Linked DNA regions of Drosophila melanogaster. The protein of the gene in region 2 purifies or fractionates together with the protein of the main gene of each other region. This does not show direct contact. Each region holds a gene or a part of one and is shown on either strand. Other genes may lie near its edges.

The links. Proteins that work in one complex are often made in the same cells at the same time.
Region 1: the proteins of Prp19 (region 2) and CG9667 purify together in Drosophila melanogaster (affinity purification with western blotting; one study listed by BioGRID). This does not show direct contact.
Region 3: the proteins of Prp19 (region 2) and Cdc5 purify together in Drosophila melanogaster (affinity purification with western blotting; one study listed by BioGRID). This does not show direct contact.

The regions. Positions count from the first base shown.
Region 1 is NT_033777.3:8,124,782-8,128,279, reverse strand, and holds CG9667 (uncharacterized protein), read left to right. Parts: upstream 1-1,922; 5' UTR 1,923-1,964; coding exon 1,965-1,967; intron 1,968-2,028; coding exon 2,029-2,051; intron 2,052-2,114; coding exon 2,115-2,275; intron 2,276-2,336; coding exon 2,337-2,968; 3' UTR 2,969-2,990; downstream 2,991-3,498. Other genes in the region: Arl8 (ADP ribosylation factor-like 8), read right to left, coding at 1-18, 85-239, 1,438-1,560; CG7878 (uncharacterized protein), read right to left, coding at 3,142-3,457.
Region 2 is NT_033778.4:18,446,854-18,453,031, forward strand, and holds Prp19 (Pre-RNA processing factor 19), read right to left. Parts: upstream 4,189-6,178; 5' UTR 4,056-4,188; coding exon 4,037-4,055; intron 3,973-4,036; coding exon 2,619-3,972; intron 2,568-2,618; exon of another isoform or gene 2,516-2,567; coding exon of another isoform or gene 2,074-2,515; intron 2,019-2,073; coding exon of another isoform or gene 1,248-2,018; intron 1,198-1,247; coding exon of another isoform or gene 1,088-1,197; intron 1,032-1,087; coding exon of another isoform or gene 955-1,031; intron 901-954; coding exon of another isoform or gene 861-900; exon of another isoform or gene 759-860; coding exon 614-758; 3' UTR 508-613; downstream 1-507. Other genes in the region: Lamtor2 (late endosomal/lysosomal adaptor, MAPK and MTOR activator 2), read left to right, coding at 1-97, 165-287; CG30120 (uncharacterized protein), read left to right, coding at 861-900, 955-1,031, 1,088-1,197, 1,248-2,018, 2,074-2,515; rswl (roswell), read left to right, coding at 4,523-5,863; Dnaaf3 (dynein axonemal assembly factor 3), read right to left, coding at 5,924-6,178.
Region 3 is NT_037436.4:357,343-363,193, forward strand, and holds Cdc5 (cell division cycle 5), read right to left. Parts: upstream 4,042-5,851; 5' UTR 3,787-4,041; coding exon 3,742-3,786; intron 3,673-3,741; coding exon 3,407-3,672; intron 3,348-3,406; coding exon 1,903-3,347; intron 1,844-1,902; coding exon 1,155-1,843; 3' UTR 1,058-1,154; coding exon of another isoform or gene 689-1,057; 3' UTR 509-688; downstream 1-508. Other genes in the region: CG1231 (uncharacterized protein), read left to right, coding at 1-117; Roc1b (regulator of cullins 1b), read left to right, coding at 689-1,057; CG1233 (uncharacterized protein), read left to right, coding at 4,316-4,357, 4,411-4,999, 5,085-5,851.

The sequences.
Region 1 (3,498 bases), on a different chromosome or scaffold from region 2:
GCTGCGTCCACCATGTAGCTGTTGATTAATACATTACAGTGTTACTTGACTACCGATTGTTGCTTAAGTATCATTATTGCTTACACAATCGCATTAACGCCGCGACAATAGCGCTCCCACATGGATCGGAATCGAGGTTGGCCTCCGATGTCCCACACCTTGATAGTCACATTGCCTCTGGTGATCTTGCGCATGTTGAATCCAACTGTGGGTATCATGTCCTCAGCGAATTGGCCGGACTACAAGAAACAAAAATAATTAGTAAGTAATCGTGTCTTAAATAAAATACAACTTTTATATTAGCAAAGAACAAAGCCTAGAAGTATGCAATCCAAAATAATGTAAAACTCGTGTAAAAAATTGATTTTTTACACATGACAGCATCCAAAACCTTAAAAAATTTGTTATTCTTTTTGAAAATGCTCTTAAATAAATAACTATTGTAATATCTTAAAGTATTGATCAAACAATGTCTTTTGGTACTAAATTTAATTCAACATACAACACTTAAATTGATAATTGATTCTAACCCATAAATCTTTGTTCTGTATCAGCATCAATCACCTTACATATGCATTCAATAAGAGAATCGAAAGCTCCTAAAATGGCAAGATGTTACTTCTGTGACTTAGTTTAAATTAAAAAGGTATACTATAGGTTAGCAGTCGCTAGTGAAATGGGAAAAGTGACTAATTGGCGCCACCCACAAGTTTGTTTTCATTCCGAACCTGAACATTACACTAATGCACGAATCTGAATGCAAACACGGAATTGGAGTCTAATAGCAGTGATAAGCAGGGGAATATTTCCGTTTCGGGAGCACTTGAACAAACAAATTTCCCGTAGATGCGGGCAGACATTTGAATCGAATTCACATGACTCATAATAAGTCAGGCGGTCACAAAGGCAGTAGTTACTCCACCTCCCGCAACGACTGGCAAGTGTATGCAACTATCTACGAGTTCCAGTAAATGGTAACTTGAGATCGTCGCATTATCAGCGTGCAGAAATGTGTGAAAAAAACCAGGGAGGCGGTACGGGAATACGGGGTCAGGGGTTGAAGTGCTGATAATGGCGTCATTGTGCGGAGAAACATGCGTATATATGGGCTATATGTAGGTTTATTGATTACAGCGGCAGGAACGGTAAACTTTACCACTAAAAGGAAACGGTTAGCACAGCGTTAATTACGGATGCAGTGAAAGAAACTGGGAGTACGAAAAGATAAGAAATAAACAATGTTAGAGTGGGGGAATCAAGCTAAGACCAATTCCTTTGTCACTGGGGGTTTGTAATGCTTTTTAAGTAGTAGCTGATCCCCCGGCTTTCCGTGAACCCCCTCCCCACCCACACAACAGACAACCACACACAAAAAAAACCACCCTCTCACCCATACACCCACACGAATTCGCACACACCCACTGCGAAAATACTCACTGCAATAACATTGACGAACGTCGTCTTCCCGGAGAACTGCAGCCCCACTAGCGTGAGTTCCATCTCCTCTTTCCAGAAGATGCTCTTGAACCACTCGAGGATCCTGTTGATGAGGGCCAACATCCTGGGGCAGGTGTGTTTCTGGTCGGGATCTGCTTGAAATTCGCGAAAAAAGGTTTCCTTTTCCAAAGAGCGTAAATGTTGTCGTGAAAAAACAACTGGGCAGGTCAGTGTGGCCAAGTGCGCGGTAGTGTACTTAGTAGTATTCGTAGTGAATGGTAATCGTTTATTTCAGCATGTATCCAATTAAGAGAAAATAAAATTCATATGGTATATATATATTAAGTACAAATAAATAATATTATGTCTTCGGGTTTCATCGGGAATATTATTAATAAATTGCATTTAAAATATATGTGAAATCGCTACTGGACAATATTTACTGTACTTGCTATCGATAACGTGTAACCGATTTCCGTATAGTTCGCTGTGACTGGCAATTAAGGCAGAAGAAGTTAGTAAACAAAATGGTAAGATGATGTGAAAATTTTATTAATTTTAATTAAATGAATAATACATGTATATTTTCAGGCGCGCAATGCAGAGAAGGCAATGTAAGTAACCCGGATATACGTATAACATAAGATTTCCAGCACTCATCCGCTTATTTTCGACAGGACAACTTTGGCACGTTGGCGGGCCGCAAAAGAAGTGGAATCTGGTGAAAAGGAACGCCGGCCCTATTTGGCCTCCGAGTGCCACGATTTGCCCAGATGTGAGAAGTTCCGCCTGGAGATAATACGCGACATATCGAAGAAGGTGGCCCAGATACAGAATGGTACCTATTTCGGTTTATTTATTTCTCCCTAACAATATACACTAATAGCGACCACTTATAGCTGGCTTGGGAGAATTCCGGATTCGCGATCTGAACGATGAAATCAACAAGTTATTGCGTGAGAAACGGCATTGGGAAAATCAGATATCCTCATTGGGTGGCCCCCACTATAGACGCTATGGTCCCAAGATGTTCGATGCGGAGGGCCGTGAAGTTCCCGGCAATCGAGGCTACAAATACTTTGGAGCCGCCAAGGATCTGCCGGGTGTTCGCGAGCTCTTTGAACAGGATCCTCCGCCGCCACCCAGGAAATCACGCGCTGAACTAATGAAGGACATAGATGCCGAATACTACGGCTATCGAGATGACGAAGATGGTGTTCTGATCCCTCTGGAGGAACGCATCGAACGAGCGGCCATTCAGAAGGCCGTGCAGGAATGGCGGGAGAAAATGGCCAGAGATGGTCGCATAATCGATGACGAAGAGGAGGATGAAATATATCCCCTTTCGGGACCAGCACGCGAAGCCATCGAGGATGCCAAGGCTCGAGCCGCCGTGGAGGATCCTCATGGCCTATTGGCATCCAAGTTCACCGCTCACGTTCCCGTGCCGACGCAACAAGATGTACAGGAAGCACTGCTGCGCCAGCGGAAACGGGAACTGCTGGAGAAATACGCCGGTGGCACTAACTAAGCTCAATAAACATTCTAAACTCTTAGTTTGATACATTTAAATCGCGTGTTCTTTTAACACGGCATGTTTTGGGTTATGATCATCTATAATTGGAATAGATAAATAGTTAAACAATTTTTGGCAAGGCACTTCAATGCGCTCTAGTCTCTTATAACTAGAAAATGTAGAATGAATCAGTATTGAAATTGATCGAAATTTCGGCGTCCGCCGCCACGTCCGCCTCCAAAACGACCACCTCTTCCTCCAAAACCGCCACCTTCAGCAGCGCGCTTGTCCTTCATGGCTTTAAAGCGTCTAGCCATGTTGTGCAGTTCGTCGGGCACTTCCTGCTCCGCCTCCTGCAGTATCTCAATTAGTTCCTTGGCCATAGCCCAATCCTCGCGCGTAAAAAAGCTTATTGATGTGCCCTGTCGGCCAGCACGTCCGGTGCGACCAACACGGTGCACATACTCCTCGATGTTGTGCGGAAAATCATAGTTGATGACATGTCTTTGTGGATGAAAAAATAATGACTAATGGGTTCCTCGACT
Region 2 (6,178 bases):
GGCGGCCTACGAGAAGCATGGACGCAACGCCTTTCGCGAAGGTCGCCTCACTTTCGTGCTCATCGATTGTGAAAACGGTCATGTGGCCATCACACAGGTGGGTGATCCTCTTTTTTTTAGCAGGGATTCGTTCTATAAAATCTTAACTATATTCCTTTTTACAGGTTGCCAGTGTCCTTTTGTGCCTGTACGCCAAGCAAACGGTGGGATTGGGTCTTCTGAAGCAAAAGGCCATGTCACTGGCCTCCTATTTGGAGCGACCGCTTAAGCAGATCTCGGCCTCATAAGGATAAAACAATGATGTACCAAGTTCCGAAATGAATAAGTTAATAAGTGTATGCATCAAAAGTGAATCAAATGAATATGAATAGTCTGCGGAAAAGTTTAAACGATAATATATTAGTACTTGAAATTATGAATCTTTAAGGATTTTGTTAGTATTTAAGGAAAAACTTGTCTGCTGGTTTCCAAAAGTAACCCAAAGATATTTCGTATTCTGAATTATTTGGATAGAGGGTCAGGTTTATTATTCTGCAAGATTTGTTCAAGAAAACACACAATCATTAGGGAATATTGTATAAGAAAATTTTGGACTTAATTACTAAGTGTGGACTTATTCGATGGCGTAGAGCTTCAGGGTGCGGTCCATGCTGGTGGATGCCAGATACTGGGCGTGCTTGCCGAATCTCACGCCCGTTGCCAGGGCCGTGTGGTCGTTGAATACCTTCAGTTCCTGCCACTGCTTGCACAGGTAAACCCTGTAAATAAAACGAAGCAACCGTCAGAATTTGTATTTGTACCGTGGCAACCAAATAAACAAGTTAACTAAGGGAATCTTCTTTGGCGAATTTAACTTAACAATGCGAAAGTTTAAAAGAAAAGTTTACCGCGAATATGAAAGTAAGTATTATATTCTAATATGCGAAGACTTAAAAATGCATGCTGCTCTTCAAGATTTCGTGCGACCCAAGACCCATGTGGAACCGGAGCCTCCAAAGCCCATAAACTTATCGATTGAGGACTTCAATGCGGTGCGAAATAATTAATTTTTATATTTCCAAAGTTAAGTTTTATTAATATTCCTCAGCGCGGAGAGATCGCCAATCCCCGTGCTCCTTGTGTGGTCACCACCATCGATCCCGATTATATTAAGGACGCCAGTGCGCAACGTTTGGCCAGAAAATTTCGCATGAAAACGTAAGGAATCAAATGAATTATGTGCTGGTGCAATTTCACAGCTTTTTCAGGGACATCCTACTCTTGAGGGAGATTACCCGCAATCGCTTTATGTACTATGCTACGCAAGAACTTTTTTTGGACCGAAAACGCGAGAAGGAATACCAAGACAATGTATACGAAAAGGCCGAGGAGTTTCACAAGTTTGCAGAGGAGTCGCTCAAGAAAATGGAAGCGGAGGAGTTTAAGAAAATGTTAGAGGCCCAAGAAAAGCTGAAGACACTGAAGGAAAGCAAACTGAGCGAAGAGCTGAACGAGGTGAAGCTGGAGCATCAGCGAGTGCTGATGGAAGTGCAGGAGGTCTACGGTCGCTTTCAGTATTTACTCAAACTGATCAGCTACTTTGATGACACAGTTGAGGAGGAGCAAACCGAGGGAGACGATGCCAGCAATAGGCTTAGCATGCCGCAGGAAATCGTAGCCATGGAGATCACCGAACGACATCCAGCGGGTCTCGAGCAAGTGCGTCAAGTCCAAGACTACATGGAGAAGATAGTGCGTCCGTATTTGGCAAAGCGGAATCATCTCAATGCAGAGATTTGGATACGTGGCTATGAGAGAAATCGCTTAAAGGTGTCCAACTACAACAGGCGCTTTTCTCAGTTGGCAATCTTGAACCACATCGTAGCCATCCTCCATGACAAGGCCCAGAAGACGTACGAGCGTCAGGTGAAAGCCAATGTGTTCCTCAAGGATCCCGAGTTCCTGCAGCGACGGGTGGCAGGTCTTCAGGAGCGTGCCAAGGGTCTATTAAATGACTTCGAGCAGAGATACTGCAAGGAGTGAGTTGGGATGCGTACATATTTGAATCAACTATTTTATATTCTTAATTTCCAGCAAGCTGAATATCAAGCTAAATGCTATTGTACCAATTATTCTCAAGCAAATCCAAAACAAAGTTAAGCCGGAGCAAAAGCGAGAGGTTACGCAGCCGCCATCCAAGCCAGCAGCCCAGAAGTCGTCCAAGCAATGGCGAACACTGGAAGACATGCAGCCTCCACCACCGCCACCCAAGTCTACATACGCGGACGAACAGGACACGACTCTTGCCAAGGTGGAGAAAATCCAGGGCTACGTTTTGGAGCTCTTGGCTAAACTGGACCACATCGAACCGAGCAAGCTGCGAAGTGTCGAGCAGCAGGTTCGACGTCGCATGGCAGCGGAGAAGGAAATGTCTCGCCGTGCGTTAGTCAAGCAGAACCGGCTACACAACTGGATGGCGCATTTCAAGAAGCATCATGATCAGCAGGTTGAGCAACGATGGAAAAATAAAGTCTAAGCTAGACAACAACACCATACTTAAAACATTAAATGAATACAATTTAAAACTTATTTTAACCTCATTCTGAATGATTTCAATAAGAAAAGTACAATTCACTTACCTGACATCGCTGCCGGCGATAGCCAGATAGGTTCCGCTTTGGTCGAAGCACAGATCCTTGACCTCGTAGCCGTCATCAAGCTGGATTGTCTTAAAGTTCTTCAGCTTTCGCAGATCCCACAGCTTAACGCAGGCATCATCTGCAGCGGTGGCCAGGTAGTAACCGTTCTCCGAGAAGGAGATGGCCGAAATGGGACCGGTATGACCAGGGAAGTTGGCCACATTGCTCTGCTCCTTCAAATCCCAGATCTTAACCTGCGAGTCCACGGTGCCCGTACCGAAGATCAGACCATCAGGATGGAATTGCGCTGTCGTCAGCCCGACTTCGGCGGTATCGATTACCTTGGTGAGCAGGCGTCCTGTGCGGATATCGGAGAATGCCCAGTGTTTGTCGGATGATGTGGACAGCAAGTAGTCGCCAGTGGGGTGCAGCGAAAGGCCAGTAACAGGTCCTTCGTGGCAGCGCAGGAGAAGCTGCGTCTGCGAAGTGGGCACGTGCCAGATGCGTATGTTCATGTCGGGCGAGCCGGTTATGACTGTATCCTCGTTAGGATGATATATGACTTTGGTGATCTTCTTGGTGTGTCCCTTCAGGATGGCCACCATCTGCTCTGTGTCCTTGTTGAACACGGTGGCGTTTTTATCGTTGCCTCCGGTCAGAATCTTACTGTGATCAGCACTGTTGATGTCCAAGGCCAGAATGCCGGGAACGGAGGCCGAGTGTAGGCCGGGATGGGATGCCACAGTAAGGAAGTTCTTAACCTGATCCGTTGTAACCAGATCCTCGGGCACAGTGCGTCCGCGCTTCTTACGCTCCTGCGTCAGCACCGTGGCCTTGTCCTGCAGTTTCTGTATGACCTCGGCGCTCATGCCCGCCTGCTCCATGGGATGGGCAGCAGCTCCGCCAGCCTCAGAGGCCAGGGCCGGTTGTGGTATTGCCGTGGGTGCGTTGGCAATGCCCGCCTGCGGTTTCAACGTGGCCAGAGCTTCGCGAGCGGCGGCCACCTCCTTATTGAGGCGGGCAATCACACGACAGGCGGCATCGTGCTGATACAGCGCATGGGACAACTCCTGGCGCGTCGTTTGCAGCTGCTGGCGTTGTGTGAACGAGTGAATCATGAGGGCGTCCCACTCGTCCTGCATCGTTTTCAAAGTGGCCGGAATGCTGGTGGCACTTGGCGGTTTCGGTTTCACCACAGCCGGCGTCTTGATCTCGATCAGCTCCTCCGGCTTCAGCTCCTTGCCGCTAATGGGATCGCAGCCATTCTCTAACAGATACTTCTCAATCACCCGCTTTTCGAAAACGGCTCCCGAGTGCGGGGAAACCACGGGCGTCTCGGGGACTTCGTTTGTCACTTGGAATGGAAAGTGCGATTCATAATGGCCCAATTCAAATCAAAATCTAAATTATTCACTTACGTGCGCAAACCAAAGCCATTGCTGTTTGTGATTATGTCGCTTTTCGCGTAGTCTTGTTGGTAAATTAAATGTTTTACACGTTTTTCCCGAGCCAAGCGCAAAATTGTCGGCAAAGCCGCTTCTTCTTATTATGCCAGTTACTCGGCGACGCGGGAGTTTCGAGCACAGGGCTGCCAGATCAAATGGATTTTGGCTAGAAATTTGCACAGAAAAAACTAGCTAGAATTTAAACAATTTATTTTATTGATAACACAACACATTCAATAAGTATTTAATCCATAACAATAGTTTTTATAGATAAATGACATTTACTGATAGAGAAGTGAGTAACATATCTTAAATCAATCAGCTATCTCACCGTTTTGCCAATCACAGTTCCGCACGCACAATCCATAATTGCTGGCAACCCTAGCACGTTGTTTCTGTTATTCAATTCACGATCTAGTTTTATAACATAGTTTACTGCCATTAAGGTATATTTTTAAAATGCTGAAGCATTTTGCACGATGGCGTCTGGGCAGCCAGTTGCTAAAGGGATGTGCCGCACCAGTGAGGCAAGCCTCCAAAACCTCCAGCGCAGAGAACCTGATAGCCGGCACAGAGGAACCCCAAAAAAAGTTCGTCAATCCGTTTTCCCAGCCCGCTCCTGCGTTAAGTAATGATACGATATCAGAGAACAAGGAGGAACGGGATAAGCGACTCAAGGTGCTGCAGCTGGAGGCGGACATTGCCCACCAGGAGGGTCGGCGGGTGCCGTCACTGGAATTCTTTAAGGATCATCATTGGGAGCACGTGCTGACGCTACCCACAAAATCAGCTAGGATCAAGTACTTTGGCTATCTCTGGCAAATCGAGATGAAGAAGGAGGCGGATCAACGCAAGAAGGCAGAGCGAGCGAAGGAAGCCGAGCGGCGGGTTGCGGAGATGCGAAAGGAGCGCGAGGAGAATACGCACATTATCTATGGCCTGGGACACACATCGTTGTTTCTGCGTATCTATGATACCACTATTAATCACTGGCAGAACAACCGACTCACACGGGCCATGCAGTTTGCCCCCAAAATGGTTTTGGATTGCTCCTACGATGAGCACATGAACAATCGGGAGGCTACCTATGCAGCAAAGCAATTGATGATGTGCTTTGCGGAGAACCGGATGAATGATGAGCCCTTCGATCTGCACTATTGCAACACCCAGATGGACAGCAGATGCATGCAGAGCCTCCAACGCTACATCCCCACCATGCACAATCCAGAGTTCCCGATAAATTTGCATAGCAAGTGCTTTACGGAACTCTTTCCCAAGCAGAACCTGGTCTACCTAACGCCCCACTGCCGGGAGGATCTGGTCACTTACAACCCAGATGACATCTACATCGTGGGCGCCATGGTAGACACTATGAACAACGAACCCCTTTCGCTGGCCAAAGCCAAACGATTGGGCCTTCGGATGGCGAGACTGCCCCTGGATCGCTACCTACAGTGGGGTTCCGGTTCGGGAAAGTCGCTAACTCTAAACCAGATGATCAACATTATGCTGGACCTCAAGAAAACCGGCGACTGGGATACGGCCTTGAAGCATGTGCCCCGTCGGAAGGTCGTGCAAAACGAATTCCAGCCGCGCAGGGAGAAAGATCATTGGAGCACAGGCACGCGGGCCAGGAAGCTTAATATGCGAATCGATCATCTGTTTGATTTTGACGAGAATCGCCGGCAGGCTACCTCCTATGCAACTCCGCAGAATGTAAGGCAGCGACGGGAGGGCTTGGAGTTCCAACTGGACACTTGGGCAACGGGGAAGCAAAAGAAAAAGCAGAGACAAAATTAAAGTTACTCGTTGTATTCATTAAGATGCATATTTCATTTTATTCGGATTCGGATTTCTTATTCATGGGAAGTTAGTTTTTGGTTGTAGGGGACCTTCTGCCTCCACTTCCTTCTTAATGGCTGCCACAGTCTGATTCGATGAGGGAATCTCTTCAATTACTAGACCAGTATACTCTTCAGCAGGTTCACCATAATCTGTGTCTGTGTCATATTTGAAAGTACTTTCTGGCATGGCTTCTGTCACGGCTTCATCTTCTTGTTCATCTTTATCGGTCTTTTTGTATTTTAGCCACATGTTCTTGCCGTTGATGGCCTG
Region 3 (5,851 bases), on a different chromosome or scaffold from region 2:
TACTGCCAGCCCTGCAACATGATGATGAACCATGAGAGCACCTTGCAACAGCACTTTATTGGCAAGAAGCACCTGAAGAGGGTAAAAAACCTTTCCCAAACTGAGAAGAACGTGTAAAGAATTTATTTGATATACCCTAAGCCTAAGCCATGACTTCCCGTTAGCAGTAAAGCTTCCTTAATAATAATGACATTCGAGTTTGGGAAACAGCTATTTTGTTTAAGAAAGGCATTATAAAAACCGTAATTTGTTATCATACCCATTACTCATAGAGGGGTATATTAAACTCGTTAAAAGGAATACAAATTTCTATCGATATGCCAAGATAATTTTGAAATTTCTCTCTCAAACTCACTCCCACTATCTGGTATCTGATAGTCGAGAAATTCGACTATAACATTCTTTCTTGTTTAAAAAAATTGTCTAAATTTAGGGATTCAAAAGTGGTTTACCGATGATAAGCTTTCTTGAGCCCCACTTAATATGATCACAAGGTTTAATTTCTTTTCTGCATTTATTTTTAAAATTATTCGCCGTTGTTATTTCGTAGATAAATCGGTAGTGGTCAACTTTTTTTTATTAACTGTCAGGCCAAAAACAAATGGAATTTAAAATAGTTCAAATCAAATTCGAATACGAAAATAAGTGTTGTATTTTGAAAAAGAAAAAAAATTCGTAATTTCACACCATGGCCGAGGAGATAGAGGTTGAGGAGACGGAGGACTTCCACGACATGGACTTCAATGACGAAGAGCCATCCTGTAGTGGAGGAGCTGTCCAGGCCAGGACGGAGCGCTTTGTGGTGAAGAAATGGGTTGCGCACGCCATGTGGGGATGGGACGTAGCAGTGGACAACTGTGCCATCTGCCGTAACCACATCATGAACCTGTGCATCGAGTGCCAGGCGGACCCGAATGCAAACCAAGACGAGTGCACTGTGGCTTGGGGCGAGTGCAACCACGCATTCCATTACCACTGCATCGCGCGCTGGTTGAAAACGCGCCTGGTCTGTCCGCTGGACAACAAGGAGTGGGTCTACCAGAAGTACGGCCGCTAGCGAGGAATATGGATCGGGATATTAGGTGGTGATAGCTGTTTGCTGGCATGTAATTACTGTAATTAAATAAGAACGGACTTGGGTTCCAAAAGAAGGTTTACGCTTCCTGGTCGGGCAGGAGTTGCTGGGCCGTGGGCCTGACGCCAGTTATATGTTCGATTTGAGAGTAAAGCGAATCGCGCTCCTCCACTAAGCTAGCGTACTTTTGCTGCAGCTCCTTCTCGCGGTCCATCTGGCGACGCACGTCCTCTTGCAGCGATTCCAGGCGTCGCGGCACAGCGATGGCCTCCTGTTCGCCCAAAAAGCGGAATGTCGAGAGTGAGACAGAGTTCTGCTCAATCTGGCCGTACGTGTCCTGAAGCTGCTTAATCAGCACCTGGGCGCGCGCCTGGTAGCCGCCGGTGAGAATCTTCAGCTTCTTCTCGATCTTGCCGCAGCGCTTGGCTTCCTTGGCCATGTGGCGGCGATTTGTCTCCAGCCGTTTCTCGGCAGACTCTAATCGATCCTTCTTGCTGGCCAAATTGGCGCGTGTGTAGCGATGTTGGGAGGGTAGGTAAAGAACCTGGCCGAGGCACTCCTGCCACACCTGGGCATAAACGTCTAGGGGCAGTTCGCCATGCGCCATGCGCTCCTTCACCACCTCCATTTCCTCGGTGAGCATTTGCTTGGCCTTCGCCAACTCTTGCTGCGAGATGTCCTCGTAGGGATTGGCCTTAAAGTAGCTTTGTAGCTGTTCCAACTTGTGCTGCGATTGACCAGGCACGGGATCCTTGACCGAGTCGTACACTGCCAAGAAAAAGGACGTTAGTTACTTGGGTTAAAATGGAAACGTTGGGTTTACTCACGCTGCATGGTGATCATTTCGTGTTTAATCAGCTCTTCGGCCTGCTGCTGTTCCGTAAGGTTCTGTTTCTCGGACTGCGGTCGCAGAATCTTGGTGTTCACTTCAGTTGGTCGCGGGAGACTACGCTGAATAACCTGGGAGCGCTTCTCTAGCTCTCGCTTTCGGCGCGCCTCTTGTTCAGCCAATAACCTGGCGTCGACATCCGCCTGATCCTCGACGGCGGGTTCTGAGTTGGTCTCAATGCGTTCGCTTTCCTCCTGCTCAGGCACCACGATCTCATAGTCATTCCGTGGAGCGGGCAGCGTGGAGAGACCGTCACGCAGTGTAGACTTTAGTTGCTTTTGGTAGTTTTTGTAATGTGCTGGGGTCTCGGTGACGCCCATACTCTCCTCAGGATTGATGCTTAGCTTGTCCCTCACGTAGGCAGGTGTATTGACGACACCCGTAGCCCCTCCTGCCCCCTTTACGGGAACTAGGGCTCCGGAGGAGGGCGTTTGGAATCCGCCGGGAGTGGCTGCTCCGCCCTCGCGTTGGGTTCTAAACGGCGTGGCAATCACTGTGTTAGGCGTGGCGATGGAGGCCGCCTTGGGCAGCACGCCGGAGAAGTCTGACTCGTGCAGCGGTGTGTTCAGGCCACCTTTGAGTGGCGTCTCTGTGTGGGTGAGGGCCATCATGTTTTGGGCCTCCTGCATGATGCGATCGGTGTACGGAGCCGGAGTACGTGGAGTGGCTGCTACCTGGGGTGTAATGGAGTAGTCGGCTAGCAAAGCATCCGTCGTCTCTATGCCGCTCTCACCGGCAATTTCCTTTGCCATCTCACTGGCGCGTCCCAGCTTGACTACCTGCTGTAGTTCCATGTCGGAAATCTGCGGCGTAGGCAGGACTAGTTTGGAGCGCTTCCGCTCGGGCTCCATGTTTTGCAGCATTGCGGTGGGCACTTCATTCTCTTTGCGCTGCTTCAGCTTCTGCTTGTCCCGCTTGCGTTCGCGTTCCTCCTTCTCTGAGCGGAGTTCTCCATCTAGGTCCTGCTGCCGCATCTTGTTGAAGTCGGGTTCATTTTTCTGCAAGTGTTCCTCGGAAGTGTCGTAGAATCCGTGGGCAGGTCGCTTTTCGAAGGGAATCTCGGCGTTGTAGTCTATTCCCTTGATCCGCTTGCGATTTCCGCTGCCAATTCCGGCGGCACGAAGTTCGCGCCGCTTTTGGAGAGTGGCCAGGCGGCGGGCTTCCTCCAGTTGCTTTTCGCGAGCCTTGCGCTTGGCTTTCTTGCCTTGCGTGTTGGCCAAGCGGGCGCGTGCCTCGGACAGCATTTCCAGCTCGTCCTCGTCCATGTCCTTGGGATCGGGCCGCGCCGGCTTGGTCTCTGGATTGGGGTCAATCTCTCCGGGCTTCAACTTGCGAGGATCATCCATCGTGTCCTCGCCATCCTCTTTGCGTTGGGCTTGGTCTCTGTACGGCAGGAAAGGGATCAGAAATTTTCTACTTAGTATGTTGTGCGTTGGACTCACAGCAAGTACTCATAGCGCTCCAGGCACTGGGCTGCCGTCCGTCCGATGATCGGGGCTATGGTGCGCCACTGCGTCGGCATCAGCTTGGCCAAGTGGAGCAGTTTCTCGTCCTCCTCACGGGACCACTCGGTCTTCTTGATGCTGGGATCCAGCCACTCGTACCACCTGGCCTTGCACTGCTTGGCGGACTTTCTGTGCAGGAGGGAGGCAATTCGACTCCACTGGTTCTTGCCATATTTCATAACCGCAGCTTTGAGGATTTCATCCTGGGAAAATGAAATCGGTAGCCAATGTAAGCCATGTGTGGTTAACCGATAGACTATTGGGATAATTACCTCCGTGTTGCGCCACACGCCGCCCTTGATCATTATTCGCGGCATTCTGGGGCCTTATGTTGCTTTCTGTCGCGTATACAATGGATTTTCACAATTTTCACTCGAGTCCACGAAACTCCGCTCTTTTTTTTGCAGTAGCCGCTAGCGATGGTTAGTCTTCGATAACAGCGATATCTCCAGCACGTTTTGGTATATTTATAGAACCTCTAGTTAAACTATTCTAGCTTAGTACAAAAAAATTTCATTATATTGTATTTAGTCTTCGTATACCGTTTGATTTAACTTCGGTCTTAATATTGGTAACTTAAATTATTCAATTTAATAAAGGGCCTATACACACGACATAACATAACGCGACAGTGTGACCGAATATAGTTGTGCAAACACCGCTGCCACACTGTGTACAGCAACAGCTGTTCGCTATCAGTTATTTTGTGATGAAAAGTTTTTTTTCTGCGTAATGCCAATTTTTGTGATGCGGAATTAAGAGGCGTGTGCCCAGGAAGCGGAAAACCGGCAACCGGCAACCGGAATCCGGCACCGGGAATCAACTGGACCAAGGAAGGCACCCACGATGAGCGATGCGACCTATCCGGGATATTACGGCGGCAACCAGGTGAGCAACCAGCGAGTACCTCTGGCCAGAAAAACACGCCGTGTGTCTTCCAGCTGCTCCCGTTGTCGCATCCGCATCCTACACATCCGCACCAAGACCTGTCGCTTTCCACGCCGGTTCACTCCTTGGAGCAGGACTCCAACTTCGGGGGATTCTTTGACGAAGAGCTGGTCATCGGATCGGGATCCGGATCTGCCTCCGCGTCTGCTGCAAACACCACCCCTTCTGGAACTACTTTGTGGCTGGCCGATGGCGGGAATCGATCACCTACTGAGGTGGCGGTGGAGTCCCAGCCCAATCAGGGCATTCCCTTTGTCCAGATCCACACCACCGACTTGCAGCAACCAGAGAAAAGCTACCGCAATGCCTTCCGCAGGCGTACAGCGGAAATTAAGTCGGAGGAACTAATCAAGTCGGAACTTGCGGAAGCGGCAGCCAAGGATCGCCTGAATGCCACGCCAACGCCACCAACTCGAAATTCCAGCTGCGCCAGCGTGGAGGGCAAGGCAATCATTCAGGAGGGTCCGCCTCTTATCCTGCGCTGTCCTAATTGTCCATTCTTAAGCCTCTGCCAGATGCGTCTTCAGCAACACCTTAGTCAGGGCAACTGCTATATGGAGCAGCACAGGAAACAGTGTCCAGGTGAGGCATAGTGCGCCTTCAATATGAGTGCTCTGCTGGAATGCTTCATCATATTTGCATTCACTTTTCACGTGTTTTTCGACAGGCTGCTCAAACATTTTCTACACCAGCGATGCGCTCAGCTTGCACCTCAGCTTGGACCATCAAATGGAGGACAGTGAGACACTTGCGCTTATGGGCAGAAAAGTCACTGAAGCACAAACTAAAAAGCAGACTCAGATGTCGCAGAGCCAAAATCGACCCAAGAGCCGCATCTTTATAAAAAGCGTAGATTGCCTAAGGGAGCCACTCCCGGATTTCCCGCCCTTAATGCCGGATAGCGGGTCCGCCGCTAACATTCTTGATCTGCTGGAAGGTGTGGCTGTAGGTGCATCGCCGACCGAACAGACAATGCCAACAGCACCTGCTGCGAATTTACCAGCTCCGCCGCCAAAGCCCATCCAGAAGATCTCCATCAAGAGCGTGGACGTGCTCAGGGAGACCGCTTTGCTGCCGTTCGACTTCCAGCTGCAGAACCATTCGGTCAATACGGACAATAGTCTCCCTGAAGTTCCTGATGTTGTCGGGGAGCCGGAGAAGCCGCGCCAGCCGAAGATTTATATCCGCAATGTAGACATCCTCAAGGAACCGATGGTTTTGCCATCTGCTCTGCCCGGTCTGGGATTCAATAGCACCATGCCGTCGGCAGCAGAGCCAGGACAAAGTGGCCTGGTTGTAGGAGGAGCAGATGGTGATGTCTTCCAGTCGGAGACACTACTAACGCCCACGTGTCAGCTTCCAGGATTCGAGCCCAGCCTCGCCCCGCTCGCACAGATGTGTTCCGAGGCATTTCCCTTTGATTCTGTGCTGAAT